Rhinolophus ferrumequinum: one gene and its partners. The protein of the gene in region 2 interacts with the protein of the main gene of each other region in a biochemical or structural test. Links are inferred from orthologs where the notes say so. Each region holds a gene or a part of one and is shown on either strand. Other genes may lie near its edges.

What was found.
Region 1: the proteins of TJP2 (region 2) and CTNNA1 form a complex in vitro, tested with the Homo sapiens proteins (2 studies listed by BioGRID and IntAct, with this or other methods). The link is inferred for Rhinolophus ferrumequinum from reciprocal best matches to the Homo sapiens genes TJP2 and CTNNA1.
Region 3: the proteins of TJP2 (region 2) and CGN form a complex in vitro, tested with the Homo sapiens proteins (2 studies listed by BioGRID and IntAct, with this or other methods). The link is inferred for Rhinolophus ferrumequinum from reciprocal best matches to the Homo sapiens genes TJP2 and CGN.
Region 4: the proteins of TJP2 (region 2) and OCLN form a complex in vitro, tested with the Homo sapiens proteins (3 studies listed by BioGRID). The link is inferred for Rhinolophus ferrumequinum from reciprocal best matches to the Homo sapiens genes TJP2 and OCLN.

What each region holds. Positions count from the first base shown.
Region 1 is NC_046307.1:13,645,636-13,653,316, reverse strand, and holds the start of CTNNA1 (catenin alpha-1), read right to left. Parts: upstream 3,006-7,681; 5' UTR 2,987-3,005; intron 1-2,986. UniProt on the Homo sapiens protein: Associates with the cytoplasmic domain of a variety of cadherins. The association of catenins to cadherins produces a complex which is linked to the actin filament network, and which seems to be of primary importance for cadherins cell-adhesion properties.
Region 2 is NC_046295.1:36,007,305-36,014,256, reverse strand, and holds the start of TJP2 (tight junction protein ZO-2), read right to left. Parts: upstream 3,003-6,952; 5' UTR 2,925-3,002; coding exon 2,875-2,924; intron 1-2,874. UniProt on the Homo sapiens protein: Plays a role in tight junctions and adherens junctions. Acts as a positive regulator of RANKL-induced osteoclast differentiation, potentially via mediating downstream transcriptional activity.
Region 3 is NC_046305.1:51,461,239-51,468,629, reverse strand, and holds the start of CGN (cingulin), read right to left. Parts: upstream 3,011-7,391; 5' UTR 2,906-3,010; intron 1-2,905. UniProt on the Homo sapiens protein: Probably plays a role in the formation and regulation of the tight junction (TJ) paracellular permeability barrier.
Region 4 is NC_046290.1:44,890,965-44,898,445, forward strand, and holds the start of OCLN (occludin), read left to right. Parts: upstream 1-4,465; 5' UTR 4,466-4,570; intron 4,571-4,631; exon of another isoform or gene 4,632-4,781; intron 4,782-5,843; exon of another isoform or gene 5,844-5,865; intron 5,866-7,481. UniProt on the Homo sapiens protein: May play a role in the formation and regulation of the tight junction (TJ) paracellular permeability barrier.

The DNA of each region.
Region 1 (7,681 bases), on a different chromosome or scaffold from region 2:
GTGAGCACTGGGATGGTTTCTTCCCTTTTGTGACCAGCAGCCTAACAGAGCCCGGTTTCTCTCTCCGTAGCCCTTTCTGGTTCCAGAAAACCTCAAGAGCTTCCCATCAAGTTACCAAGGCAACTGCAGCCCAGCAAGATTCACAGTGATGAGGGAAAGAGAGCAGAGACTGACAGCAGCCCCAGGACAGGCTGCCAAGGTGGGGGCACACATCTCAGGGTGAGCAGGGAGGCAGAAGCTTCGGGCCAGAGCAAACATCCCCTGCCTCCCCGTCCAGCCTGTTCCAGCATCTGTTTTCCTGCAGTTTTTGTGTTTACACAGCCTGGGTAGATGAGAAGACAGCATCAAAGCTTCCCTCACTGTCAGGTGGGGATGAGGGGTGCTTCTCCCACAGTTTCCCAGAATGGCAGATGTCACGGCTACTACCTTGAAAGGTAATGGGGCCCCGCCCATGGGCACCCTGCTTTTTTGGTTTGTTTTTGGTTTTTTATCTTTTTTTATTTTTTGTTATTTCGTTTGTTTGTTTACAAGCACCCTGCTTTTAAAAGCCAACGGAACTCTCTTCCATAACCACCCGCTGTCTCCATGATGGCCCCTTGGGAGGCAGTGTTGCTAAGGGATCCTGAGCACAGGCTGCTTTGGAATCAGAGAGAAGTGGGTTCGGCTCCTGCTTGGTCACTTTCTAAGACTGTGACCTTGGGCAAGTCACTTCTCTCTCCACCTCAGTTTCCTTAGCTGAAAATGGGGATGATATAATGAATTCCCAGGACTTCATAATATACACATAATGTGATTGCTCATGGATCAGTTTTTAAAAAAATAAAGCTGTTAAAATTTTATCATCATTATTACGATTTTAATTGTTATTGTCATTAAGTGTGTACCTCAGTTTACTCATCTGTAAAATAGGGATCATGATTTAATGGGTTGTTTAAAGATTATACAAGATAAAGCATGTGAAATGCTTAGACCAACCCCTTACCGTAGAAAGTGCTCAGAATAGGAGCTGTTATTATTATGATTTCTATATCCCGCTTCTCACCACAGGCCGTCAGATTCCGTATCAGGGAGCCATCACTGAGCTAGTCCAAACTCCTAGTTCCCTAAGCAGGAGGGGCTATGAAAATGAGGCTTCTGGGATGGTAGTGGGTGGGTGGGTGGGTGGGTAGGTGGGTGGGTGAGGAGTGGTCATTTCTAACACCTGTGCCAGTAAATTTCCAACTCACTTCTAGATCAGGAATGAGCCTGTGACTTCTGCCTTCCCTCACTTCCGTCTCAGGAGCCTGAGGTTCCCTTAGCAGGATGATGTCCCACTAACGCCCAGCACACTGGAGAAAAGGGGTAAACAGTCATTTAGAATGGAAAAGGTTTTGTCCCTACACAGAGGGCCAGACGCCAGGCTCGGGGAGGCAACACAAGAGATTGGATGAGAGGACCACATAGGCGGGGCCACAGTGACTCTGAAAGGTCTTTTCTTGGTCCAGCTGAGGCCTTATTTGCATAAGGAGACCTCAGATATGGCTGACCAACTACAGACTGCTCCCAAAGCCTCACCGTCTTCCTTCTTGAAAACACCAACATTCCGCCAGGGCCCAGTCACACTTCTGACCTTTGAGAACCATGAATAGCCTGCTCTGGGACGCAGACCTTTCCACATATCTGTGCCTCACTGGTCCAGTCACACCCGAATTGCACAGGTGGGTGTCCCAGGGGTCTCCAGTATGTGCCACAAGCTAAAGGGTGGGCTAAAACTGCAGCTGGAAGAACTTAGGGGAAACCTCGGGGAAAATGCCCTAGTTGAAAGAGCTGGGAGACACCTAACCTCTACAGCCCTAGAGACCTTGAAAGGTCATGACTCAGTGGGGGTGGGCTGGGGCTGTCAGGACCCTGAAAACACTGAGGGAGAGGAGGCAGTTCTCATGCCAGACCTGGCCAGGGCCCCCAACACTGTCCTTATCGTTCCCTTCCTCTAACCCTCCTCCTCCATAGTCTGGAAGACCTGCTGCCTTAATGTTCAAAGTAACCCTGAGGCCCTACAGAGCTGGACTTTAGGGAGAACCAGTGACTCTGGGCTCTGATGTCAGAAACCAGGTTCGAGGATAACTTGGACTTGTCCTCCCCCAGAATAAATGCAGAAACTTGGGCCTGTGCCCTCAGCTCTGCTGGCAATAAGCCTTTGTCTCCAGTCCAGAGAACCCAGCCTCCCCACTAGCACCCTGGCCTGGACTCTCCCCATTCTGTGAACAGACAGGACATGGAGGTACCAGAGCCAAAGGCCAGGCGTTTCTTCTGGGCACTGCATGCAGGCATCTTACCCTCCCTGTGCCCGTAAATCAATGCCCACACAGGCTCTGTCACTGGGAAGGAGGAATTCCTGAGGGTCGGTGCTTCAGCATGACTGGGTGGAGATGAGGACATCTGAGGGAGACAACTGGCAAGAAAACAGAAGTGGGGCCTTGAAAACAGCTGCTGCCCAGAAAGCCCTGGCTGTGTCAGCTACAGGTCAGGAAAGGACCACGTGTGTACCACCGACCTGCTCAGCACTCCATGCCTCACCTCATCCCCATCTGACTCGCAGACGAGTCCAGGAACAGTCACAGAGGACTGCGTCAGATCAGGGAGAAAGAAAAAGCCCCCCACCCCCACCCCAATTGTGAAGAACCTAGTGGGCAAGGCATGGGCCATAGCCACACAGATTCAACTGGAAGTCATTCTGAAGAAAATTCAGCGCCCCAAAGATAGCCAAACCAGGGTCAGCTGCTGGGGCTGGCAAGGGGCCAGGAGTTACCACTGGCCCCATCTGGCACTGGCCATGGAGCCTGGATGGAGACCTGCCCTACTAGCTGATCTCCCAGAGGCAGAAGTCAGGTTCCTTCTAGCCTGAGGAATCAGGGACGAGTCAGAAAAGCCAGTTTTCTCTCAAGTCTCTGTCTCTGCCTGCTGGAAAAAGATTGCTTCCAGCTCTCAAAGGGTCTGCCCTGCTTACCCTCAGATTGACACGTGGACAGGCAAAATTTCCAGTGCTCTCAGAGTCCAGGCTGCAGACAGCAGTCCTGAATCTTCTCCTGGGATGACTCACGAGTGCCCCCTGCTGTCTGGTTTCGCTGAAGCCCGTCGTGGGGGGAAGAAAGGAAGGAGTGTTAAACGCAGATTCCAGTTGCCCCAGCAAAAGGGGACACGCGTTAGGCTGCCCGCTTTATACACTGCCAGAGCCTAATCAGAGCTGAACTTCCCCAGGGGTCACCGAGGAGGGGAATGTCTAGAGAGCAATCCATCTGGGAGGACAACGCATGAGGGCCCTGCAGCCTGGCCTCCGGGCACCAGCCCGAGCTCTGATGAGGGCTCTCCAGGCTGCATAGGTCCCTGGCTTCAGGAGAAGTTATGTTCTGCGTAGCAAAATCCCTGCCTCCTCTGAGCCTCGAGAGAAGAGGCTGTTCCACATTCAGAGAATCATCTCAGTGAGTGTGCAGTGGGGGCTCTGCAGCCTTGTGAGCAAAGGAGAGACCCCACTTCTCCCCAGAACTCCCCCAGGTGCCAGTGGGACACCTCCAAAACTCCCACTGATGATACAGATTATAAGAGACAATAATAGCTGTTTGCAAAAGGACCTCTGGCTCCCTGTCTGCAGGTCCGTCAGGTCTCTTTAGCTCCAACAGTCTATGAGCCTATAGGATTCCACAGCCGGTCCTAGTGGTCGGCTTCTCTCCTCGCCACCCACTACTCCCCACTCCTAGTTCTTTCTTTCATCTGATTTAAATCCATCTTGTTACATGCTGAACAATGGCAGCTAGTAGAAAGGGTCTTTGTCCAACACTTCCTATTTTCAAGTTCAGAGAGAGAGAGAAGAGACAGGACACTGAGAAACCAAGGGAAGAGGAAGAAGCAAGAATGAAGAATAGAGAGATAACCAAATATTAGGTTGGTGCAAAAGTAATTGCGGTTTTTGCAATTATTTTTAACCTTTTAAACCGCAATTACTTTTGCACCAACCTAATAAAATCCAAATAAACATCTGAGGAAAACCATCTGACTGGCTGGAGAGGTGGGGAACAAGCCTCCGCAGTCTCTCGTCATGTTCCGTCTAATCATTTCATAGCTGTATGTCTGTGCTCGCATTCAATGTAGGAGTGAGGGCACACACACACACACACACACACACACACACACACACACAGATTGTGGGGAAGGCCTGTCTGTGGGGGCGGGGGGGCAGCAGTCCTCTCTTAACCCAGACAGTTCTGCCCCCCACCTGCATGATTATCTTCCCTGCTCACATCCCCCCACCTCCCAGCCTCCACGCTTTACAGCACTAGGTCCGTGTGCTTTCAAAAGAGCTCCTCCCTGAGTGCCACCTTCAGGAAGTGCTGCGCTGCTCCAATGAGGAGATGAAAGGGAAGAGCGCTAGTCCTCTTCTCTCCAGAGCACTACCCCATCAAACAGCCCCCCTGCCCCTCTTTCATCACTGCCAACAAAAGCTGCAAAAGCAGCCCTCCTCACCCTGAGCAGTGGCCTGCAGGGGGTGGGGTCAGCAGGATTCCCAGCAATGCCAACACCCTCTGCCTCCCTTCCCTCCACAACTGAAAAACAAACAGGAAAGCCCTCCCGGCCCATCCCTAAGGCCACTTTGCAGTCACCCCAGGTTCCCAAAATCCCTACCCAAGCTGCCCCTAACCCTGCCCTCCCAAGGGAGCCTATATTTCTCAGACCTTGGAAGTCACTCCAGGATATCTCACCCTGAAAGACAAATCTGCTCTTGGAATGCAAGGAGACAGTGATGAATTTGCCCACACTCTAGCAAGCTACTTCCATTAACTCCTATGTCCAAATAATTTCTTTAAAACACCAAGGATGAGGTTGGGGGAGGGGAAGGCAAGTCCGTGACATCAATCTTCCATGGGGATTCCTCCTTCAAACCTGGCCAGGTCTGGGCAGGAGAAAAGCCCTGCACACACACAACACACCTACTCTGGGGGCTTCTGGGACAAAGCAGTGGAAATGAGACCTCACCTGCTCACCTCCACCTGCAGCCTCACAGTGCCTCCTCTGACCTAAGTTATTTTCCACTCACCCCCCCTTGGGTCCCTGGATATGGGCTCACAGAGATATGGGCTCACACACCCCTTCCTGGGTGTTTCAGGGCTCTGGCTGCTCCTGGGCAGGGTGGAGCTGCCTTGGGGGGGCACCCTGTCCCCTCAGGCAGACAAGAGCAGCTCCTATTTGACCAGCATCCAAGGGGACCCAAAGGGAGAGGGCATGAGAAGGAAAACGAAGATCTGTACTGCAGTTCCAGGTTTACTCATTCCTTCTCAAATTACCCTACTTAACACTTCATTTTACAGATGAGGAAGTGGAGACTCAGAAGGTTCAACTTGGACTGGACTTGCCCAAAACAACCAGCTAGAAAAGGGACAGATCTGCGTCAAGCATGGGTCTCCTACGTCTAAAGTCTACTTCAGGGAGATGACTTTCTGGTAGGCAAGGGGGCCCGGAAGCAGGTGACATTTCAGTCGCTAAGTGTGCCCACCTATGCTTGGCTTTGGAATACTAAATCATGAACGCAAGCCTACAGTTCTAGCCCCTGCCCTGCTTACACTGTCTGCTTCCAAGCCAGCCTCCAGCTGGAAGGTTTGTACATCTTGGGGATGGGCCAGCTGGGGCCCAGAAGGCAGAAGGGACAGAGAAGGGAAATTCTGGCATTTCTCCAGGGCTCAGGAGCACGAAAGGGGATGACAGCTGGGCAGACGGGCTTGAGCAGGCCATGTGGGAAGGCTGGGCTGCGGGAAACTATGGGCACAAATGGCCTGGCTGAAACAGGGCTTTGCCCAGTTGGCCACCTAGCACTTCTCCCTTCCTCCATTCTCCCTGTCTCTCTGCAAATTGCCTGCTTCAAATGTGATTCTTTCCAAATGAGCCCCACACCTCCCAGGAAGGGCCTGGCACGTGGAGCGATGCTGTGGACTGATTACTGACATCCTAGCCTTCTTCTAGCAGCAGCAGGCTGGGGAGCTGGTGGCCCAGACCACAACAGGAGCAGCTTAGGATGTCCTGTTCCAGCAAATTGGAGAAGGTTCCCCATGGCTCAGATCTGAGGTTGAGGAGCCAAGATGGACAATGAAGGAAAGAGGAGGCCCCCAAACTCTTGCCAACCAGCAGCTTGTTGGTGGCCCGGAATACAGGTGCCCATATGGGCTCTCCCTGACTGGAAGGAGAAAAGTCAGCTTTGTCTAGTGCTGTGAGTTTGATGGCTGTTGAGGCTCAGTGCTGAGGTCCCCATTAGAGGTACTCAACGTGTCTCAGGCCCTGGAGTTCCCAGAAATGAGGGGAGTGGGAGCATGAACCAGTCACTGGCATTTGCTGGATCCTTCCATGCCTTTTAATAGCAGAAACTCCTCTCCTCTCTCAAATGTTTTGTGGGGAGAGGCGGGTATCTTTACCTCCCAGCATCTTGTAGATCTGCCAGTAGTTTGAGTTATCTAGTAGGACCAAAAGCATCATGAGATGTCAAGAGGGGCAAGAGACAAATACTTCAAGATTGGATTCAGGGCATAGCCTCCTCTCTGAGAATATTACCTGGTTACCCTTAAATGAGGGCACCCCACATACTCCATGTGTAGATCAAAGCCACAGAACCCGAAGTCTTCCAGGGCAGCTGCAGAAGTAGCAGCCAACAGAGAACCAGAGAGGCTTACAGCTCAACAGTCCTCAGGGATCCCCTAGATTCCAGGCCAAAGGCGCTCACCACCTGTTTGGTGACAGAATAAAGTGTAGGTTTGGGATTTTGCAAGGGGAAGCAGGTGATGTGGGAGAAAGACTCTCACGCATTGAGAGGTGCTCAATAAATGCTGCGTGAGGGTCACTGGTACAGGAATGTTCTCCCAAAGGAACCCTCTGTCCTCTGATGTGAGGAGAGAGCAGGCTAGAGTAGGAGTGGGGGGGGGAGGGGGGGAAGAGGGGTGTCTTGCTATTTCACCAAAGGTGATCAGGTGGCCTACTCGGGTGTCTCTACCAAAATGAAGGTAGGAGGACAAGTTACCATGAGATGGGCCTCCTAACCTGGATGAGTCATTCTCAGGACACCTCTGAGCCTATCTGGGCCCTGACCTTTGTCTAGATGCTTCCTCTCCAGCGGAGGCTTAGAAGCTGCTGCAGACACTCACAACCCCACTCTTCACAGCACTGGCACTAAGGAACCTGATTAGCAGAGCCCCATGCCAGGCTGCTAATGGGTTGGAAATATTAAGCATAAATGGTTTCCCACACATCAGCATGAGCAAAGCCCTAGAAGAAACAAATATTTTAATTTAAAAGAAAGAGAAGTGCAGGAGGAGAGGGGGTTCCCTCTGCTTATTCTGCATCTATTATTCTCCCACCCCCCACCTGCAACAGTTTCTACAGTTCTCAGGTCAGGCATTCCCTGCCTAGGAGGGGCTGTGCCCATGGGGAAGGAGGGTGCAGACAACAGATCCTCATTTTCTCAGACCTGTGGGAGTGGAAGAGATTCTCAAAGATATACAGAGAGGGCGATCCCTGGGGCTGACTTGGCCAGCCACCCCTATGGTCAGGAAGTCTGTGACATCTCATTTGAATTAATCCTGCGATGACTCAAGGCCCACTTCCCTGTGGATGGAGAGTGGGAGGACTAAAGTAGATGATCAGAGATGGGACACCTTTAGACCTAAAT
Region 2 (6,952 bases):
CCTACAGATTCCAATGCAGAGATTCTCACTCAGGTCTGGAGTAGTTGGGAGAGTTTCAGATTTTACTAAACTCCCCAAGTGATTTTCCAGGCATCACTGAATCACTGAACAAACCATTCACTGGACACTTTCTAAGGAATTTTTTTCTCATGTGTGGACTACAAAATAGAATTTGTTCACCAAATAAAACACTGAACTATACTACAATTTCAGAAGAGAACATAGTGGAGGAAGGGATAAGCTTTTCTCTCTTGCCATACTAGAATTAAAAGGAAATAACAATCTGAAATCCTGTGAATGCAACAATCTACTAAAATGGGAGAAATTTTCTGCCAAATCTTGCCCATTTGAATGATCTTCATTCATCATTTCAAAGGGACTTTTCAATCGAAGGAAGCTGTAAATTCCTTCCTACAAGCTGATAGCCTCATTCTGACAAGAAAGTCATAATACAAGAAAAGTCAAGGGTCTTAGAATGAGAAAAAGAATCTGGGAAGAATTTGAAGAATCTGCTATTATTTGGCTATGTGTTAAATCTTCCCAATATCCCTGATCACTTATGTATTCTGAACCATAGTCTTGATCTTTAACAATGACTTTCTTAGATCAAGAATGAAACCACTTTTATTAGTTCGCAAATTCACATGTTCTCATCAAAAAGCATGCCCTCAAATCACAAGTTGGACAATTTTAAGTAGATGCAAACAGATGACTTTTCATTATTACAAGGTTTTCCTGTATACAAGCATTTTTTCAACTAGAAATAATGTTGTTGGACCATTAGATTCATTTAACATCAAAGCAGAAACAAAATAATCTGGGGTATTTTAGAAAAATTGTTTCAAATCTTCTTTCTATGACCTCTTCCATATACATATATATACCAAGCAACAACTTTTTTTCTTAAGGTTTATTTCAACTACTTTCAAAAATAAATTTGAGTCAGTATAAAAATTAAAAAAAAAACACACACTAAACTCAATATAAACAGGACATCTAAAATAAAACCAGTTAAAAGACGCACAGAGAGATTTTACCAGGCATCTACGCTTAGTTAATTAGTGCAGTTTGAGCCCTGGGTAGCTCCATTCTTTTCCAGCCAAAGCAAAAAAGAAACTCTCGTGGGTTAATGTTGTCTCTATTAAAAGAAAGCCCATGCACTCTAAGAACCTGGAACTATAGTGCCTTGTTCACCAGGCCAGTGACCAAGGAATTTCCAAATGTTTGTTCATATTTTGGGAACATGATTTTGCTTTTACTTTATATTCCTAATCAAACTTTTCTGTACTCTACAAAAAAATGTCATTAACCATCTCCAGAAGCTCAGGGGCTGGAGATAGGGGGAAATGGAGTATTGTTTAATGGGTACAGTTTCTGTTTGGATGGATGAAAATGTTCTGGAAATGAATAGTGCTGATTGCACAACATGGTGAATGTACTTAATGCCACTGAATTGTATACTTGAAAATGGTTATAAAGGTCAATTTTATGTTGTGTATGTTTTATCATAACAGTAAAAGAATAAAAGTTTTGAGAAACAAAAAAACTCACCAGCTGGTATGCTACCTGTCCAAATCTTGCTAGGGAATCTGCCTGCCACCCTGGGGCGGAAGGGCTTTCACCCACCAGCTGTAATGTGTTTGTCCTGGTCTGGCAAAAAGAAGGTTTAAATGCAGGACTGGATGGAAATGTGTATCACTTCATTAGACTAGACACAAAACCTCCGATGGTGCTTCGCAAACATAAACATGCAAATGATCCCCTGGGGATCTTGATTCAGCAGCATATAGGGCCTAAGATCCTATATTTTTAACAGGTCCCCAGTGATGCCACTACTGGACCCTGGGACTCATGTGAAGCACCAAGGCCCCAGGGCACTTGAAAGTAAACAGAATGTCACCCTATCAGCCTAACCATCTAGAACCAGGTCCCCTCACCGGCCAACACAGTGGGTTGATCTTATCTTTCAAGCGAATTGGTGGTTAAGCACTTAATTCACCTCCCAACCACCATCTGTAAAAGTGCGTTGAGAAACTGGGATAGAAGGGGGTTCCCGAGAGAACCCACCCACCTCGGGGAGTAAGCAGCAGCTACAGATGATATGTAAGCGTAATTGACACGGGCAGTTTCGCAGAAAGCCCTCATGCAGACTTCAAAACAATCTTGAAACTACCCTTCTCAGGCTCGAAGAATGCCTGGAATTCAGTGGCCTTTATCCAACATAAAGATTCGCAACTCGGTTTTGACTGGGTTCCCTATAGAAGAACCTTGCAATGGAGCCCTAGAGAACTGACAACGCCCAGCATGTTGACAAGTTCGCCTCCTCCCCCTTACAAGTGGGTCAGAAAGTGAAAAAAGAAAAAGAAAAAAAAGGTTCTCCAAGGCTGTGCCGCACAGGAGTGCACAGATCCTGGGTCTGCGGGCCCGCGAGCCCTCCAGGGCGATAGTCAAGCTCCCAGGTGTGCGGAGAATTTTCAAGGCCCGCAGCTGAAACTCCGCTGGCAGCTCAACTCACCCTGGACCCGCGTATACCCCAAGGCACCAGCTCCGGCCCCCTCCAGATAGTACTGCAAACAAGGGCTGTGCCAACAGAAACTCAGAGGCTCTTTAAATCTGGTTAAAAAGAAGCTCAACAGGAAGTGAACCAGTTCCCATCCCTTGGGGGCGATGGAGCAAGGCCAGGTAGGAAGGAAAAAGAAAGTGACTCTCAAGTACCTGTAGTTGTCCCAGGTGCATGCTCGAACCCGCTTCCAGAGGATTCCCCAAGAGAAACCCTATGAAGCGCTGTTACACATACCCCCGGGGGGCGAGAGTGGGGCGGGGAAGCAAAAATCTGCTAAGCATCCCACAAAAAGGGATAAAAAAAATCAATACCCAATAAAGTAGAACCCGCGGAGTTCTGGAGCGGAGGCATCAACTCGCATTTACTCGCGCTGCCCCTCACCTCCGTCCGCACAACGGATCCAGGGTGCCGGCCACACACCCCGAGAATCCATCTCCCTTGCTAAAGCCGGGGCGAGAGGAAGGTCTCCTGGCGACGCCCGGGCTGCCGCGCCTGGCAGCGCCGGGACGCCCTGCCCGCGCTCCCGGGCCGGGGAGGGGAGGGCGGTGGGTGCACTACTCGCCTGGAGGTGGGTGGCGGCCGCGGTCGGCGGAGTCGGGCGCAGGGTGAAGGCAGCTCTGGGCGACGCTTGGACGCGCTCCGACGCGGCACTGGCTGCTGGGCCGCTGTCGCCTGCGCTCCCCGCGCGCGTCTCTGGCGGCGCCTTGTCCGAGCCGCAGTGCGGGAGGCTGCCCCGGGAATGGGCGGGCGTGAGTGGCCTCAGCGGCCGCTCCTGTGTATTATTGTGACTCAAGCTATTTCCTGTTTGGAGGTTTGGGAGAAAGAAAAAAAAAAATCCAAGGTGGGGGCAGGGGAGTTGTGCAGCGGCGTCCCGGAGGGGACAGGGGTGCACAGCGGCTGTCACCTGCTTCCACGAGACCCCGAGGGTGCCAGGTGCGCGAGCCCCGGCAAGGAGACGCAGTTTACTGCAACTTTGGGGTGTCGGGAAGGACGGAGAGGGTCCACCCAGCGGTGGGCTAGGGGCTGCGGCCGCAGGAACCGCCTGGTCACTCCAGCCAGCGCGCCCACTGACCTGCCTCTTCCCTTCTCTGTAAAACTGCGCTGAGCTTTCTTCCCGCCCAGGGCAGGCGGAATGGGCTGTGCTGCTTCCTTTATTCCTGCCTGGGGTGAGCTTTCTAATCCTCTCCCGGAGTGTGCGCTAGAAAGGGGGTCGCTCCGCCGCTCCTCAAAACACCACAGGTGGGAGGGTTGTGGGCCATTGTGTGTTTGGTGGGGTTGGGGTCTTTGTTTTTCGGGCAGGGATGTGAAGCAGGTTAAGGATTTTGGTGGAAAGTTTTGAGATCGGCTTCCGTTCCCCTCCCCCACCAACCTCACCCTTAGCCGGGATCACAGGGTCTGAGGCCCCAATCCGGAAATACCGGTTCCTCCCGCTGGGACAATAGGTGAGGGCGGGAGTGCTAACCCCGGAGCCTGCTTAGTCACAGGCGGAATCCCTGCTCTGCCGGGAAGGCAGAATCTTCCTAGTTAGTGCCCCACTGCACCTGGCTAGCAGGTGAACCTTTCATCCAGTCTTGTTAACAATCCTGGGAAGGTAATGGGGAGTTACTGTTTAATGCGTGCAGTTTCAGTTTAGGATGATGAAAAGGTTCTGCAGGGTGGTGGTGTTTGCACAACAATGTGAATGAATGTACTTAATGCCACTAAATTGTATGCTTAAAAATGGTTAAAATGGTCAGTTTTATGTTATGCATATGTTACCATAAAAGAAAAATTCCTGGGAGGGTCATGCCTCCTTTTTTCTAGACCGCTTTGCTTATGACTGCCAAACCCTCCTTCCCTCCTCCCTACACAAACCTTTGCCTGTAATGGAATGAGTAACAGTGCTTCTTAGACAACTCAGGTTCACTTACTTTAGACCTCTGTGGGTACCTATCAACAAGTTATTCCAAGAAGTGGGTAGATTGAGCCTAGAAAACAGTACAGTTTTTTAAAAAATGAAGAGTAGTTTGTCAGAAACAAAGTGTTAGCAAGATGAATAAAGGTGTAGATAGTATACCACTTTATCTAAGAAAGGAGAAACAAACATACATGCGTTTGCTTATGTTTTTTTTTTAATGGAACGAGAAGTTAATAAATAAAATGGTTACCTATTTGGGAGAGAGGGAAAAGATGCAAAATACAAGATAGAAGCTAGACTTTTCTGACTATATCTTGTTTTGTAGGCTTGACTTTGGCATGATATAAATTTTACATAATTATGAAAAACTTAAATCAAAACTTTAAAAAGCAAAATTCAACAAATGAATGTGGGTATCAACTTGGCGGCTTAACCATGTAAAGAGAAATTTTGTCAAGTGACTTTAAAACACAGTTATTTGCCTCTACATCCCTTAGGTATATACTCTAGGATGGAGAGAATGTTAAAAACAAAAACTACAACAACAACAAAAAAACCCTGCTTTTCAGTCATCATAGTGTAATTATATTAATGTCTTTAAGAATCAAGATTTTTTTCAGTATAAAAGATAAATATAAAATCAGAAGTAGAAGTTAATATTAAGTTTGAATTGGAATTATAATTTAGAACTCATGATATATTTTTCTTTAAAAAAAATAATTCCAAGGTCTGTTTTACTCAAAACACCTACCACCAAGGGACCAACCTGGTAGGTGGTCACTGCAACAACTTCTAGATGGTCTCTACCCAGCTTTATGCAGAAACAACGTGAAAGAGCCTCACCTCGTACCTCCCACCCCAGTTTCTCTGTTAATGCCAGTGTGGGGAATCCATGGAAACTTGGTGCCCAAGCATACACCACCCCGAAGGGTGGTTGAGTTAATGTTTCATGGTCTAACCTTCCACCAGTGGGGGATAAAAGCTGATAAGTAAGTATTCTTCCCTTTTCCCCCAGGAGGAATGATCCTGAGACTCAGTCTATAACACCTCTCAGAACAGGCCCCCCTGAGTTGGCTCTCTCTGCGTCCCAGTCCCTCACTCCTTTCCCGAGGACCGTGCTCCCCAATAAAGCCCACGTTTCAAGGCTTTGCTTCCTGGGAAACCCAGGCTAAGATATGTACAAACTGTATCTCGAGATAACCAAATAGTTGGTGAGGAAATGATTCTACTCGGTCAATAAGGAATGAACAAAATTTGAACCCCAGCATTTCCCAAATCCCTACTAAAATAATGGATCAAGGCCACTGACATCACAGAAAACATCGCCAGACATTAGGTGCCATCTGATGGAAATGCACAACACTACACATGATACAATCTTGCCCCTAAAAAGCAAATCAGAGTCTGATCAAGGTTCTAGATCCAACTGCCAATTTATAGAAAGTACTGGAAGAGAGGAATGTGTTAACATTACTACTGGGGTAGGATCAACAAAATCCAGAATGTGGGAAACTCGAAAAGGCAAATGACCCACTTTCCTAAACAAGTAGCAAGGCATTCAACATGAAGGGGGAAGAAACCTATAGATCAAAAGACTTAAGTAATGTCCGTGAAATACAATGTGTATTTCTTGTTTGGGTCCTGATTCAAGCCAACCAGCCACTAAAAATTAATGAGATAATTGGAGAAACTTGATATTCCCTAAATTAGTAAAAACTTAGGAAATTTAAAAAAATGTTTTAATCCATGCCATTGACTTAATCTAGTATACGGTGTTGATGCTGCTACCACATGTATTTGGGTGGTACATTTATTTTATATACACCCACATATGCATATACACAAAATAAAACACCTGTTGAATTTACTTCTGTATCTGAAATTAACATTTCAGAGAAGAATAGGATTTTGGATTTTCTTCGAATGTGTTCAGGTTGGAAGAAAAGGACTCTGGCTGGCGTATCTGGTCACTGACATTATCTTTGTTTTTTCCCACCCACTCTTTTCATTCCGGGTACATGCTGTATGTATTGCTTTGTCTGTGCTTTCCTGTCACCAGCAAAATGCATCTTCAGTAACTCATAAACATTTCCACTCTGAAGACTAAACATTTCAAAATCTGCTCAAGGAAACAAAGAGACGCCTCCATGGGCCACAGGGGCAGTATTGTGAAAAATGGGGCAAGAACTCTAGGTTCTGACTGAGAGCTCAGCAGAGGTTTCCTCCCTGCCACTGGCACCAACGCAGTCCCATAGAAACCATCTTGCTTTCCCTGGAGACAAAGCCCTATTCTGCTGCCTCCTGTGACAGGGAGCTCTTGTGTTCTGTGTCCTGAGGTTCTGAAACTGATACCGTGCTTCACCGGCAGGCTGGAGAGACAGGGTGGGGAAAGGGTCAAATCACAGTCTAAAGTGGGGCACTGCCTTGATAAGACAGGTGTTTTCTTTACTGGCAATATGTGCACCACAAAGCCGCAGACAGAGCTTTGTTCC
Region 3 (7,391 bases), on a different chromosome or scaffold from region 2:
CCAGCGGATCCCTCAGAGTCCTTTCTCATTTGCCCCAGTAACGAGACCTTCTCCTGGCCTGGACTCCCTGCCCTAGTCAGTCATAATTTTGGAACCAGATGTGCCTAGACTGCCAGCTCTCCAAAGTCACATGATTTATTCATGCTGCAGCTCTCCCCTGTCAGTACGTCTACTGCTCTCCCAGATCCAGGTCACGACGTTCCCAGGCTCCGCTCCGCACAGTGCCCGGCCTCCTGCTCCCCCAAGAGCACCAAGCTGGTCAGGGGCAGCCAGGAATGCACCCCCAGGTCCCAGTGACTCCCTAACCTCCACCACCTCCAGTCCCAGGACATGTGGGTCAGGGGCCGGGAGGACTGAAGGAATCTTTGGGGTGGGTCAGAAAGCAGGGCTCTAAATGATTCAACATGGAAAACCCGAAACCCATCCGCCTTCAGTTACAGAGAACGGCGGGGCGGGGCCAGGAAGCAGGCAGCTCCAAGGTCTTGCCTAAGGCCCAGAGGCAGGTAAACAGTGATCCAGCGCCAGGCAACATGGAGTCCAGAGCCTTCGCTCTCACCAGATGTCTGACCCTGCTTTTCCCTCCCCTGGCATGTGCCCAAGCCGCTCCTCACCAACGGGACAACGGGAAGAGCCCAGGCCACAAGTGAATTCAGCTTCATCTGTCGGCCTCTGCCAGTCCTGCCTACAAGCTGGGGGAGGACACTGCACCTGTACCAGCCACTTCTCCCTGAGTTACTCATTAGCCTGCCCTGCCCCAATTCCATCACCTCTGGCCCAGCCATAGCGTCTGGCTTCCAACTAGGAGTGACAGGGTCCCTGGACTCCTGGCAGGAAGTGGGGGTGGGGTGGTTTCGGTGTGTGGAGGAAGAACTGATACACATACACAGGGCCGGGCAATATGCTAGATGCTACGCACCTGGCAGATTTAGAAAATGGGAGAACTGGAGGTCGAGATGAGACTCCCCTCAGAGGTAACAAGAAAAGCACATGGTCAAAATAGAAAAGGACAGCTCAGCGACCTTGATCATTTGGCTCCTATTTTCTCAATAGAATTACAGAGATAAGAAGGTCCCCCATGGATCCAGAAAGAACCCCCCAAGTGGAGTGCTGGCTCGGTCCACTGAAAAAGCCGAAACCTGAGAGCCAGGCTAGAGCTGCCTGGCCAGTGGCGGAAGAAAACACAATCAGGAACTGGGCCCCAGCAAACTGGCTGGACTGGTTTGAGAGGCAAGGGGAGGGCCAGGGAGACTCCACTGGCTGCTTGCAAAGCAGACACGAGAAATTCCACACCAGAGGAGGCAGAGGGGCAAAACCATGGGCAGGGCCTCTGTCCAGCCTAGAAGCCAAAGCCAAGGCTCTGAAGGAGGAGGCACAAGACAGAGAGGGAGCCGGCGGGAGAAGATGCACAAAAACAATGAGTGACAGGCCGTGTGTGACAGGAAGCCTTGGTCTCCCTCTGCCCCTCCCTCCCAAAGATGCATTCCTGATCCCACACTAACTTTGGCCACCTCCCTGGTCCTTCGTTTTCCCCTGTTTTCCCCTTCCCCACTCATAGAGAAGCAGCCCTACCTCCCTCCTGACCTCCCACAGAGGTGAAGGCATGCAGTTCAGCCTGGAGAAGGCAGGAAGGGTTCTAGGAAGCCAGAATCCTCTTAGGGTCAGGCAAATCTCTGGCTTAGCAGTCCCCTAGCGCCAGCCCCCCACTCCCAAATATCCAGGATGAAAGAAGAGGTGCAAAAGCACCTGCAGGCAGCCTGTCTACAACATAGCGGTTACTAATTATTTCCCAATTACAACCACTTTCCTCAGGCAGGGCATCAAAGGGGCTGAGCTAAGGCTGGCTCTGGTTCCCTTACCTGCCTAGGGCAAGGGAATCTCTGTCACAAGTCTTGTCGGGGCCCCAGTGTGCACCTCCCATCTAGCTGGAGACTTGGAGGTGGTAACTCCTCTAGTTTTGTGGTCTCCTGAGGAGTCCTGCCTATGTCCTGCACCACTTGTGTCCACTGCCTGTCTGTCATGGTCCCGGAGTCAGGGATGCCTGGTGGCGTTTTAGGGAATAATGGGGATCTTCGAAGAGGCTTCAAGGAAATTGGTTAGGCTCCCAAACCTCACCCAATGGCTCCATCTCGAACCACAGAAGAAAGTACGGTGTGTTTGGGGGGGAGGGTTTGACACGAGCCCCCAGAAAGAGGCTTCATTAGAAAGACACAGTTCTAGATATTTTGTAGGCCTAGGGATCTTTGCTTCCTCATATCTCTCCCTGGGAGAGTACTGTTTCAAGAGGAAGAAGGAAACATTTTCCCTGGCATGCAAGCCTTAAACAGTTTCACACCGAGCAAAGAGACTGCCCTACCCTCTTGTTCGGCCCCTCAGCGTCTCTTATTTGCAACTGTCGTCACCTGTAGGTGAATGGTTAGAGAAAGATTCCACACCTCAGATCCATCTCAAAGCCAGGAGGGAGGTTGTCAGCACCAGCTAGACTGGCAGTCAGGGGGCAGAACCTCAAGGAACAACAGCTCTCCACGCCCTCCCCCTTATGCCTCTGAACCTGGCAGCAGTTCCCTTCGACCAACTGAGACGAACTCCTTCCCCCCAGCACCCCAGTCTCCTAGAGAAATTCTGCCCCTGGGACCGGCCTCTGACCCCAAGAGAGATCCTGGCCCTGACCCGCTTTCATGCCCTGGGAATAGCCTTAGTCTCAGGTGCCCGTCACCTGGCACCTAGGAGTGAGAGTCAGCTCTTAATCAGTACTCCCGCCCTACCTTCACCTCTCGTCTTCTCCCTGATGCAGCACCTGTGCCCTGGAGGGAGGTATCTCGGATCGCCTCGACCCCCGCCCCTCAGGGGTTACACCTGAGGGCCCGCTTGCCTCTCAGGTGTCCTTGCCCCGGTTCGGTTCACTCACCCCAGCCGGGCTCGGCGCTCCCGAGCTCGGGTTCGGGTTCGGGCTCCGGCTCTGGCAGAGCTGCATGCGCGGCTCCCAGGCCCTCCCCCTCCGTCCCTCCGCACTCCCTCCTTCTTTCTCCCCCTCCCACCAACCTGTTACTCCCCTCTGGAGCTCCACCCCCATTGGCCGTCACCACCCGCCCCGCCTTAGCCTTCTTCTGGTTGGTCCGTTTCCCGCGAGGGGCGGGGCCGCCACCGCGGGGACAGGGACCCGGGGTCGCCAGCCGGGGTGGGCGGGAGGTGCAGGCCGGGTCACGTGGGCCGGCGGGCGATGGAGCGCCTGGGCGGGGCGGCGAGGGGCAGCAGGAGGCCATTTTGGGGGCCACGCGAGACGCCCCCCCTCCCCGGCCCCGGGAGCCGCCCGCCAGAGCATCCTCTGGCCTCAGCTGGAAAATAGCCCGCCCCCCCCCTCCGCCACCTCCGGTGTTCTCAACCCGAATCTCTGTCCAGAGCCCTTTCAGCCCTCACCTACCTCCGCATACAGCGGATTACTCTCCCGTCACTTCTGCAGAAAACATCTGTCTCCCGATGTCAGAGCCTCCTCCACCTCAGTTCGTCTCCTTTTCGCCCAACCTGAGCCAGAATCCCAATTTAGGATTCTCTTCCCCATCCCCTGGCCTCCACAAATCATTTTCTAGCCTGGTACCCTTTTCACCGTAGTAATCACCTTCCAAATTACGTAATTTAATCTTAAAAAATCATATTCATCGTTTGTCTCTCGTCCTACCGTAAGCTCCGCCAGGGCAAGGATCTCTCCGGTTTTGTTCCTTGATCTATAGCAAACGCCTAAAACAGGGACTGGCACGTCCTGGGCGCTTAGTAGGTGTAGAATGAATGAATGAATGGGATGAAGTTTATGCTGAAGGGGGATGTGGTTTGACATCGAATAGGAGTGAGCCTCATTCTGAACGGAAGGGGACTCAAGCCCAAATTGTAAACGCACTTTCTAAAAAGTGGGGAAATCGATCCCAGTCTCCAGAAGAGTAAGATCAGGCCGGGGCTCAGCAAACATGAGGCTCCTACTCTAGCTGTGGTTCAACAGCACGGCTGTTAAAGCTGGCTCCCTAGATCGTAACCGTTGAGACAGGGGGAAAAGCAGATTGATTTAGCTTATGTCGCCGGGCCCTGGATGTTGTTCTCAATTATTTATTCAACAGATATTTACTGTGGACCTATTCAGGGTTGAAGAGGAATCTTAAATGCAGCTGACAGTCGGGTTCGTTCGCGGGAGCTATTTCCTTACCCTCCCCCCCAGCCTTCAGTGGCTAGGTGTGGGTCCTGGAGGGTAAAGTCCGCCTACTAGCTTCTTGGCTCCGATGCAAAGTCTCTGCATTCCAAGGGAAGCACTAATGTCAGGGTTAGAGTCCTCAAACCAGCCAATGTCCTGGGGAGGAACTGCAACAAAAGGTGTGGGGGTGGGGATCGGAAGATGGGTAGGCCTCCAGCACTGTGTTACCTCCAGACCGCGGGGGTGGGGTTTCTTAAGAGGTTTTTTTTTTTTTTTTTTTTTTTTGGAAATGTGAGATTGTTGAGTTGACCCAGATATTGGAAAAGTGGAAACGCCTCAACTCTCCTGGGTAACACCTTAATAATTAGGATACTTAGCGCATTTGTAGTAAATGCAGAGTAAGGGTGGTGCAGGAGACACCCCACCCCAGCACGCTGAACATAGACAACAAAGAAAATCCAGGAGGCCTCTGCCATCACGGTCCTGTCATCTGTTCCTCAAGGAAACAGCCTCATTCAGAAGGACACCATCAGGCACAGGTGGCAAAGGTGACACCACGGTCTTTCCCCAGAGTGCGTGGTCCCCGTCCTTAAGAAATGCTACAATTTGGCAAAAATCGGCCAGTTTATAAATATGGCAATGGTACAAAATTAGAGCAAATAGCATATCCAGAAAGAAGAAACGAATAACATGGATATAAATTCAAGAGGGTAATTTTACTTTTGGGAAATAATGGAATGGAGAAAGGTCTAGGCTAACTGGAGATTTCATCAAAGAAGTGAATTTGGAGCCCAATTTCTGTTTTAAATTCTTTCCTCACGTCTTTCCTGCGTTCTCCAAGACTATCACGAGGTCCACTGACAACTCTACTGAAACTTATCTCAAAGATCACCTGTTAAGCTGGGACCAGTTCCTACATGGAGCAGCAGGGAAGGCTACACAGGAAGAGTCATTAAAGATAGATGACCGAAAGGTGGTGATGTCGTTGGCTGAGACTGAAAGGACAGGAGACAGAAGGGTTTGGAGAGGACCCAGGAAAGGAAGCGTATAATAAACCAACTTTGGAATTTGCTATCTTGGAGAAGTAGGCAGGACACACACACAGTCTAAGAAATGAAGTTTAGAAGAGAATTTAGGGGTTGAGACGAATCTAAGTATTCTCCTCATAGATGTGAAAGTTTGCAAAGTGGACCGAAGAAAAAACCTTGAGAAATATGGAACAGATGGGGGTCGGGGGAAGTGATGGAGCATTCAGGGGCATAGGTGGGAAAGACCGTGGAAAAGAGATGTTCCAATAGGAAAAGAGACTGGACTTGGGCACTGTGGGGACAGAACCAGGAGTGCAGTTTCCAGGCTCTCAGCCTCACGTGGAAAGGTGCTGGCTCAGGTAGTAAATGGCCATCAACTGTGATGGCATGGCCATCAGCTGTGGCTAGTTGGCCATCAGCTGTAACCAGTGACCTATTGGCCACTGATATAACTGCTGTGGCTATGCTAGCAGAAAAATGGAGGCTAACAAGAGGATGGTGGCTGAGCTAGCAAGCGCGGATTGCAGAGAGGTGGATGCCGCCAGTGAGAATATAGTTGTATGACTCCCCCATCTATGGCTCCCTGGGTGTTCCTTTTTGGCCTCACCATATCCTGCATTCTTATGTGGGGAGCGGGACCAGAGACCCCGCAGGCTGCCCCGCACGACAGGCACTTAAAAGTTGATCTTCCAGATGTCAGTTCAGCTGTGCTGCAGACCCTCTGCTCAGACTGCGATAACAAGTATATCAGGAAAAGAGGAGGAGAAAGGGTACCTTGACTTAAGAAAAACAGGGTGGAAGAAAGAGGAAGTTTTATGTTTGTTTTGTTTTGCTTTTAGGATGGAGAGAGTTGGTTATATTTTGAGACTAACCCCGAAGAGTGACCGAGAGTCAAGAAATGAAAGGGTCACCTGAAATTAATATAATATTTTATGTCAACGATAATTGAAAAATACATTTTAAAAATTAATAATAATAATAATAATAATAAAAGGGAGAGAGAGAACAGCCAAAGCCTGGACCTACAGGGAAAGGTAAAATCTGTGTTCTAGAACTTAAATTGGGAGACCGGGCATGAAGGAGTTACGAGAGTTGCGGAAGTTGAGTCAGACAACTTGAGGTCGTAGGACTCCTGAACCTGCCAAAGAAAGGAGTGCTTCTGAGGGCTGGAGACATCGGAGACAAGTTTTGGAACTGTTGGAATCATCTGTAAACCTAACAAAGGATGTGATAGGTGCCAAATGAGTGGCACGAATGAAAAGCTCCCAGAAAGTCTCCTTTTCAACTAGAATTAGGGTGGTATCCAATCTGGGCCTTGAAAGGAAACGAGTAGTTGAAAGCAAAGGAAGAATAAAGGCAAGGAAACGTGCAAAAGGTTCTTTTGCCCACATGTCATGGGGTAGGAAAGTGTCATGTTTGTTGTGGGGACTGGAAGGCGCTCCCAGAGGTTGGGCAAACAGACAGGGGAGTAGTGGGAAATGAGACAGAAAGGTAGCATCTGGGATCGATTATGCAAGGCCTTGAACATCAGACTGGGGGCTTTTTGGGTAGATAATGGAGAGCCATCGAAGGTTTTTGAGCAAGAAGGTGGCAGTGCTTCCGAAGGTTAACCTAGGTCAGTATAACCCATGCAGTGACAAAGTGAGGTAGTGAGCGCCACACAGAGTGGGGCAAAGGGAGGGAAAAGAAAGGGACCACTCCCCGCCATGTCCTTCTAGTAAATTACTCATCATTTCTTTCTCAAGCTTTGTTTACAAACACTTTGCTCTTCAACAGAAATAATAATATATAATTATACTATCGCTTGGGGCTTTTCCTGGTTGACTAAAATTTCTGTTATGCGTGTTGTTAGAGAAGATAAGAAGTGGTCACTTGATGACTCACCTGAAATACTTCATATGTTCACTTGCTATACGCACTCGATCCTGGGTTCAGGATCTCCAAGAGTGCCCAAAAGATATTTCGTTCTTTCTGACCCTTATTCTTTTCCTCAGTTTGACTAGGGAGGTGGAGCCACAGAGATTCTACGAGTGGACAACACTGATTGAGAGCACTGAGTCAGGAGTCAAGAGACCGATACAATTCTAACCAAGTCTCCTAATATCCTTGGAATTCAGTTTCCTCTGAGAAATTAAGAAGATGATCCTGAATTCCATAATTGCATTGTTTCCTTTGGGCTTCTTGCGGGA
Region 4 (7,481 bases), on a different chromosome or scaffold from region 2:
TTTTCCTCTTAAGGTAACCACTATGGTATCTTAACTTTCATGGTAATAATTTCTTTGCTTTTCTTTGCGGTTTTGCTGTTATGTATAGAATCCCTAAATGATGTAGTTTAGTTTTGCCTGTTTTTGAACTTTATATAAATGGAATCATACTGTATTTTGGGACGGCATTGTTTATTGTGTTCAATATTATGTTTAAAAAATTCACCATGTTGTCAGGAGTTGCTCTATCTAACTGGTTCATTCTTATCCATTACACTCCTTTGTACAATTTTTTTTTTTAGGATTGTTTTACCTATGCAACCTATGGTTGCACTCTGAAATCTTTTTATGGGTAGTTTAAAGGAGTTTGGGTATTTTTTAGAGACAAAAAGCAGTAAAACTGTTAAGAACATTAATTCTGGAATTAAATGACCTGTGTTTGCATCCAGACTCTACAACTTAGCTGATATCGTGAGTAAATGATCAAAACTTTTTGAGCTTTACTTTCCAGAAATGGGAAAAATAATATTACATCGTAAGATTGTTGTGAAGACAAAAAATAGGGTGGCCAGATGGCTCAGTTGGTTAGAGCGTGGGTGCTCAACAACAAGTTTGCCGGTTCAATTCCCGCATGGGATGGTGGGCTGTGCCCCCTGCAACCAAAGATTGAAAATGGCAACTGGACTTGGAGCTGAGCTGCGCCTTCCACAACTAGATTGAAGGATAATGACTGGGCCCTGGAGAAACACACTGTTCTCCAATATTCCCCAATAAAATTAAAAAAAAAAAAAGATTGTTTTTTCGTTTTTTTTTTAAAAGAAAGACATAAAAGTCCATAAAGCACTTAGTACAGTGCTTTGCACATGGTTACCCTGAATAAAGGATGGCAATTATTATTACTATTATCCCACTTGTTGAAGTTCCAGTTCAGGAACTGACTGTTTAACCTTGGCTCCTCCTGGAGGATCTTGCTTAATACATAGCAATTGAGATAGAGCTTTACTCACCATACGTCATCATCCTCAACATCCTCTCAGAAATTGCCTTCCTGATGACTTCCCCATAAATTCCTCCATTAATTTGTCCAAGGAAACTGCCCTAGGAGCCTCCCACCTTGTGATTGTGATTGGGTGGGAAAATTAGAGGCCCTTCAGGCCAGGTCGTCAGCAACTCCTGAGTTGCCCTTGAACAAATACCAATCCTTGGATTCATTTATTAAGCAGGTGAGGCAGAGTGGAAATATTCTAATCCCCCTTCTTTTCTTCTTTAAGACCTAGTACTAGAGATGTAAGCCCTGAAATGCTATTAAGGAATGTGCTGTTTTCATAATGACAGAAGACTGTCTGAAAGATGGACAAGACTCCACAGGCATGCTGGATTCGAGAAACAGGGTTACATTCATTTGCTCATTCAATGAGTATTTATGGAATAGCTCTATGACAGGGACTGTTTCAGGCAGATGGGATACAGCAACGACTTGTTAAATTTATTGAGACTTGTTTTGTGGCCCAGCTTGTGGTATGGTTTCTCTTGGTGAATTGTCCACGTGCTTCTCAACAATTTTAGGAAAAGAGTACCATTTATTAATATCCCAAATGTACAGTGGGGAAAAATGAGCCTATGTACTTCAATTTCCCTTAAGGATTAATCCATCCAACTAATAAGTGGCAACATGAGATTTGAACCTATATTTCTGACACCAAATTCTGAGCTCTTAAGTTTCTCCTTTACATATAAAACTGAAGAAAAACAAATTGGTTTTTATCATTTGACAGCAGGTAAAATCAACAAATTTCTAACCATAGTTCCTCTGAGAATAATATTTACTTTGACTCGTGAGGATTTTAGTCAAATAATGTTCAACAGTGGGTCATAGTCCATAATACTGCTCTGAGTTGTCAAGAAGGAATATTTGATTAAAAATAATTAAAATTTTGCTACGATTTATGATTAGGTAACATGACTACACTGAACAGGACATCCAACAAATTTTGCTGTTGAAGAATGATGTGTTTAGGTTTTGAGGCTGGATTTTCTTTTTGAACATTTTCCACTACTACCTAATATGCACACTGCTAGGCAAGAGTTAAAAGAACACAGTTTTTAGATTTTTCAATGTTGTCAGCATCATTTGGAAAATTAATCTGAATGGAATAAAAATGGCATACTATTCCAATAGAAATATAGCTTGGTCCTAAGTTGAACCACATGAAACTGCCATTTTGTAGTTAAAATGAACAATTATTTCCAATTTCATATAGTTCAACTTAATAAATTCTATTACTCCACATGCATGAATTCAGCAGGAAAATAAGCCTCTCCAAGACAGGGATTTGGGCGTTTTGTTTACTATTGTGCAGATAGTAGGCAATCAGAAAATGGTTGTTGAATGAATGAATAAGGAAAGCAAATAAAATATGGTAACTAAGCTTCCATTCTAACACAACATGCCTTTGGGTTTAGGTTTGGTATGGGAATAAGAAAAATAACATATGAATTAGCTAATCTCTTAAAGTGATAAAAAGTTTAATTAAAAAACCTAATTTACCCAAGAGAATTAAAAACATATGTCCGCACAAAACCTTGTCCATTAAAATTCATAGCAGCATTATTCAGAATAGCTAAAAAGTGGAAATAACCCAAATTTCCTTCAACTGATGAAGGTTTAACCAAAATGTCGTATACTCATGCAATGGAATATTATTCATCCATAAAAAGGAATGAAGTACTGGTAGGTACTACAACATGAATGAACCTTGAATATATTACGCTCAGTGAAAGCAGCCAGACACAAAAGGCCACATATTTATTCACATAAAATGTTCAGAAAGAGCAAATCAATACAGACAGAAAGTAGGTTAGTGGTTGCCAGGGTCTGGAAGCAAGGGGAAATGGGGAGTGACCGCTAATGGACACAGGGATTCTTTTTAGGGTGATGAAAACATTCTGGAATTAGGTAGTGGTGATAGTTGTACATCCTTGTGAATGTACTAAAACCCACTAATTGTATGTACACTTTAACATTAAGGGTGAATTTTATGGTATGTGATACATATTTCAATTTTAAAAAGCGGGGGAAAAAACTAAGTTCTCTTCAGAACATGTCAAAGTACACTATAAAATAATAGATGTGTTTATAAATCTAAGAGTATTAGAAAATGTTCTCTTGTTTAATTATAAACCAAGTGGAATGTTTGGAGATTTCAGTAATCTGACAGGGAACATTAAGAGGATTAACCTGACTTCCCAGTGTTAACAACATCAATTTAAAATGCATCATTCAAAAACTACAGTCATACTAAAATAATTATAGCAATGACTTCCATGAAAACAACACCAATCAGATTAATTACCCATTAAGGCTCTCATCTATTAAAATACCTTATATTTATATAACGCTTTTACTTCCTTAACTATTGAATTATGCCTTGAGATCTATTGTATGAGAGTCACAGCTCTAACCACTTAATTAAAGGCAGAGAAGTGGGTGGGATTGTACAGAAATTGATTAGCAATGCTGACATTCCAGCTTGGAATACAAAGTGAGGCAGAATTTAAGAAACCTAAAATCCAGCCTTCAATGCAGATGGTAAGTAGCAAGAACTAAAATTGCCAACTTCTGGAGTAAAATTAAAAAATATATATTGAAATACAACATACATATATACGAGTAAAAGTGTATATATACATCGTGAAATGTAGACTATGAATTTTCCTAAGAGAACGCTCTTTTGGAAACAGCCTCCAGATCAAGAAATAGAACACAGCACACAGAACTAAGTTTATATTTTTTTAAGCTAAAGAGAATATTAAGATAGTTTAAATCCTCCCAAGAGCAGATTCTCCATCATATCAGTTAAATTTGGGAAGGGTAGCAGAGGAGCCTGAAGTGGTAATATTGTATACCGTTAGTATGCACTTAATTTTGATGGCAAATTTACTGACACCAGTATCTACAGTACTTCACCTTCATTTAACCACTCAGAGTAATGGTCTTTTTCCCTCGATCCAGAGATTCAGAAACATTTCTTAAATTTACGCATAACTTTTGAAAATCTTTCACATCTGGATGCTTCTTTCTAACAAAATTGAACCAAATTTTTGGAGCAGGCAAGTGTTGTGTGAAGACGTACTTTTTTTCTTGCCGAAAGCTGAGCTCTCTTCTGGAGGAAAACAGTGTTATCTAGACCTCAGTCCACTGTTCTATCAGAAGCCCGCGAAGATCGGAGCACGCCCCAGGGTGGTCTAGGCCCCCCCCAACCCCCCAAGCCCCTGCCCCGGAACCCGAGCACTTCCTCTGAGCTGGATCCCCGCCCCTCGGCCCGAAATGCGGAGTTTTCCTTTAACTTAGAGCACTACAAGGGTGTGCGGAGCCGAGCCAATTCCTCCCGCCTTCTTCTCCACCGCTCCCTTCCCCCTCCCATCCGAGTTTCAGGTGGATGGGTCACCGAGGGAGGACGCAGCCACACCTCCTGGCCTGCGTACCTCCTAGCCTGCGTCCACCTCCCCCTTTCTCCTTCCTCCGGCGGAGGCGGCGGAACTCCCGGGAGAGCTGGTCAGAGCGCCAAGGAGCCCCGGCGAGGTGCAGCAGGTGAGACTCACCCGCACCCGGCCGCGGACCCTCCCGCAGCCGGGCCTGGCGTTGGTGCGCATGCCCGAGGGCAGGGCGGCCGGGGTGGGGGGGCGAGAGGAAAAGGAGGTGAGCTGAGTCCCTAGCTCTGTCCCGGGCTGCGGGCTGACGGCCCGCACAGCGTCAGGTGCGCCCGCCAGGTGAGCGAGCTCCCTGGGTCCCGTCGTCCTTGGTAGGTCGGGCTGGGCTCCAGTGAGTACGGGAGAGTTGGGCGCGGGACCCGGGCGCACGGTACCCCCAGAGTCCCCGCGGCGCCTCTGTCTAGTAGGGGAGGCGCGGGGAGAGGGCACCCGGCCGTGGTTTCGGTGGCGGTTTCGTCCCTGGGCTGTAACTCGCGGGAGCCGGAGAGGCGCGCGTCCGCGGAGCGAGCAGCGCGGGGCTAACTGGGAGGCTGCCCCGGGTGCCAGGGGCCACTTGGAGGCTCCGATCAGCTCCTTCCGCGGAAACGCTTAACGCTTGTGCGCCCAGGCGGCTCGGGCAACTTTTCGTAGTTGCCGGGCGGGAGGTTCACGAACAGTGAGAATCCTGCGCTCTGCTCTCCGGGCTGCTGTTCTGAGGGGTCCTTACGGAGAGGGGCACAGCGCCCGGCTCCTCACGGGTCTGGACCCCCAAGGCTGGAGGGAGGGCGCCGCTCGCTGGCGGGGGCAGCTTAGATCTTGGGGACTTCATTATTTCCGCCTCCACCCCACCCTTTTGGGTATCCCGGAGAGAGAGGGTGGCCGGGTTGAATCCGTGGAATACTATTCCTGGAGGACAGTGTGGGCCGACCGGCTATTCTGAATCCACTTAGTGGGAGTTGGGTGAGCGCTGTGGATTTCAGCTGGGGGGCGGGGATTTAATTTCGAGGGAGGCTGTATTTCGAGGGAATCTGCTCACGCTGGGATTCTCAGCCGTGACCAAAAGGCCTCGGGCGGTCCCTGTTGGGCCAGCGCGCCCTGCCGAGGGTGCTCCTGGGCGCCGGGGCCTCATGTACCCGGGGACCTGCCCCCGGCCCGGCCGCTGGGGTCTACACCTCCCCGTCCAGCAGACATGTTGCCTGCGTCGGAGGAAGTGCGGGGAGAGGTGGGTTGAGGGGCCAAAATGGCCTCTGCACTTTGCGGCTGGAAGAGACTGGAAGAGCGACTCCAGGCCCCTCGTGTCCCAGGTGAAGCGACTCAGCCGGAGAAGTCACGGCATCCTCAGGCCGGCCCTGGCGCGGGCTGGGCACACTGCCCACCTGGGAAATGAGGCGGGGCGGGGACGAGGCAGCGTTCCAGGTTAGTGTGTGGCCCTCGCGCACAACAGGTGTATTCTTGGGATCCCTGGAAAAGAGAAACCCTTCCCATTAAGGCACTGGTGTTGATGCTTGCTGTGATTGAAAACTACTTCTTTCTAGACGGAGGTGGATTTCTCAAACTACGCATTCCCAAGTGTAACAATGTTTCTTTTCCGTTGTACGTATAGATCTTTATTTTCTGTGTGATTTTTTTTTAATGTTTTAAATGGTTGAGTCACAGTAATAGATACCTCCTTAGGCAGAGCAACACTTTTTTTTTTTTTGTAGTTTTGCATTTATGCCTCCTTTGTTAGGTGATGGAGAGCAGGATGGGGAGGTTTAGACAATTCCGGGTTATTTAGGGGAATGATGGGCAGTGCCTCCTGTGTGGGAGGCCCTGTGCTAAAAGCGTTTTGTACCTTATATCATTTAATCAGCCACTCTAAAAGGTAGACCTTATTAGAACCCTTTTTAAAGGTGAGCGAACACCTGTAGGGCAAATATGTTACAGGAGGGCTGGATTGAAAAACTACTTCAGCTTATCAGGGAATGTATACTAGAAAAGCAGCAGTTCTTGATATTCCAACATCAGAACTAGTTTTGGGGAGTTTCTCTGAAATTCTCTTTTGATTGGTCCCTATGGCCTCGTATAAGTTTTCTGCATCCTATTTGATGTCAACGTAAAATTCTTCGTGTTCTAAAGATAAAGTTGGAATTATTGCCCTTTCAAAATGATAAAAGATTAATTGTAACCTCATTAATTAACTGATATCCTTCACTTTCCCAGGAACCTTCCAGAGGAAAGTTTTCTTCAGTTGAATTTTGAGGCTTACTTCATTAGAATATTTAGTGGGCTTTTTTTCATCTATTTATGAAAATATTAGAGTAAAAACCCCATGCAGATTTTTGTTACACCTTTTGTTTTAGGCTTCAGGCTTACAGCTGTTCTGTAACTTAGTTACCTTTCCAATCTTGAATGTAGTATGAATCACCTAGGGATCTTACTGAAATACAGATTCTGATTAATAGGTCAGAAGTGGGGCCTGGAATTTTGCCTTTTTAACAAGCTTCCTGGTGATCCCGGTATGGTTTTGTGTATTTGACCTTTTTCTCTCCTTTGCCTTCAGACTTTAAGCTCTTAACTACTTTTGTTGAACTTGAAGGATTGTATTTACTGGGGGTTAGGTGAGTGAAGAACTTCAAGACATTCATTGCTAGATTGAAACCCCAACTGTAATGTGGGCTATTTTTTTTTTCAATTAAAGTTTATTGCAGAGAATTGTTCAAGTTACATAGGTTTCAGGTGTACAATTCTGTAATACATCATCTATATATCACATTGTGTGTTCACCACCCAGAGTCAGTTCTCTTTCATTCACTATATATTTGATCCAGCTATTGGTTTTATAAATCAAAATATTGGTAGAGCATCACTTTGTACCTGGGATCAAGAATAAGTGTGATGGTCAAGATAGACATCTAAGTGTGAAGCTGGTATTCTTGTTGGGGTGGAGATTGTGGCACTAAAAAAAAAAAAAAAGGAAAAACTAATAATTTCATTGCGGGGGGGTGAAATTTGCTCTGAAAATAAAACAGGTTTGGTGAATGGAATGAGTG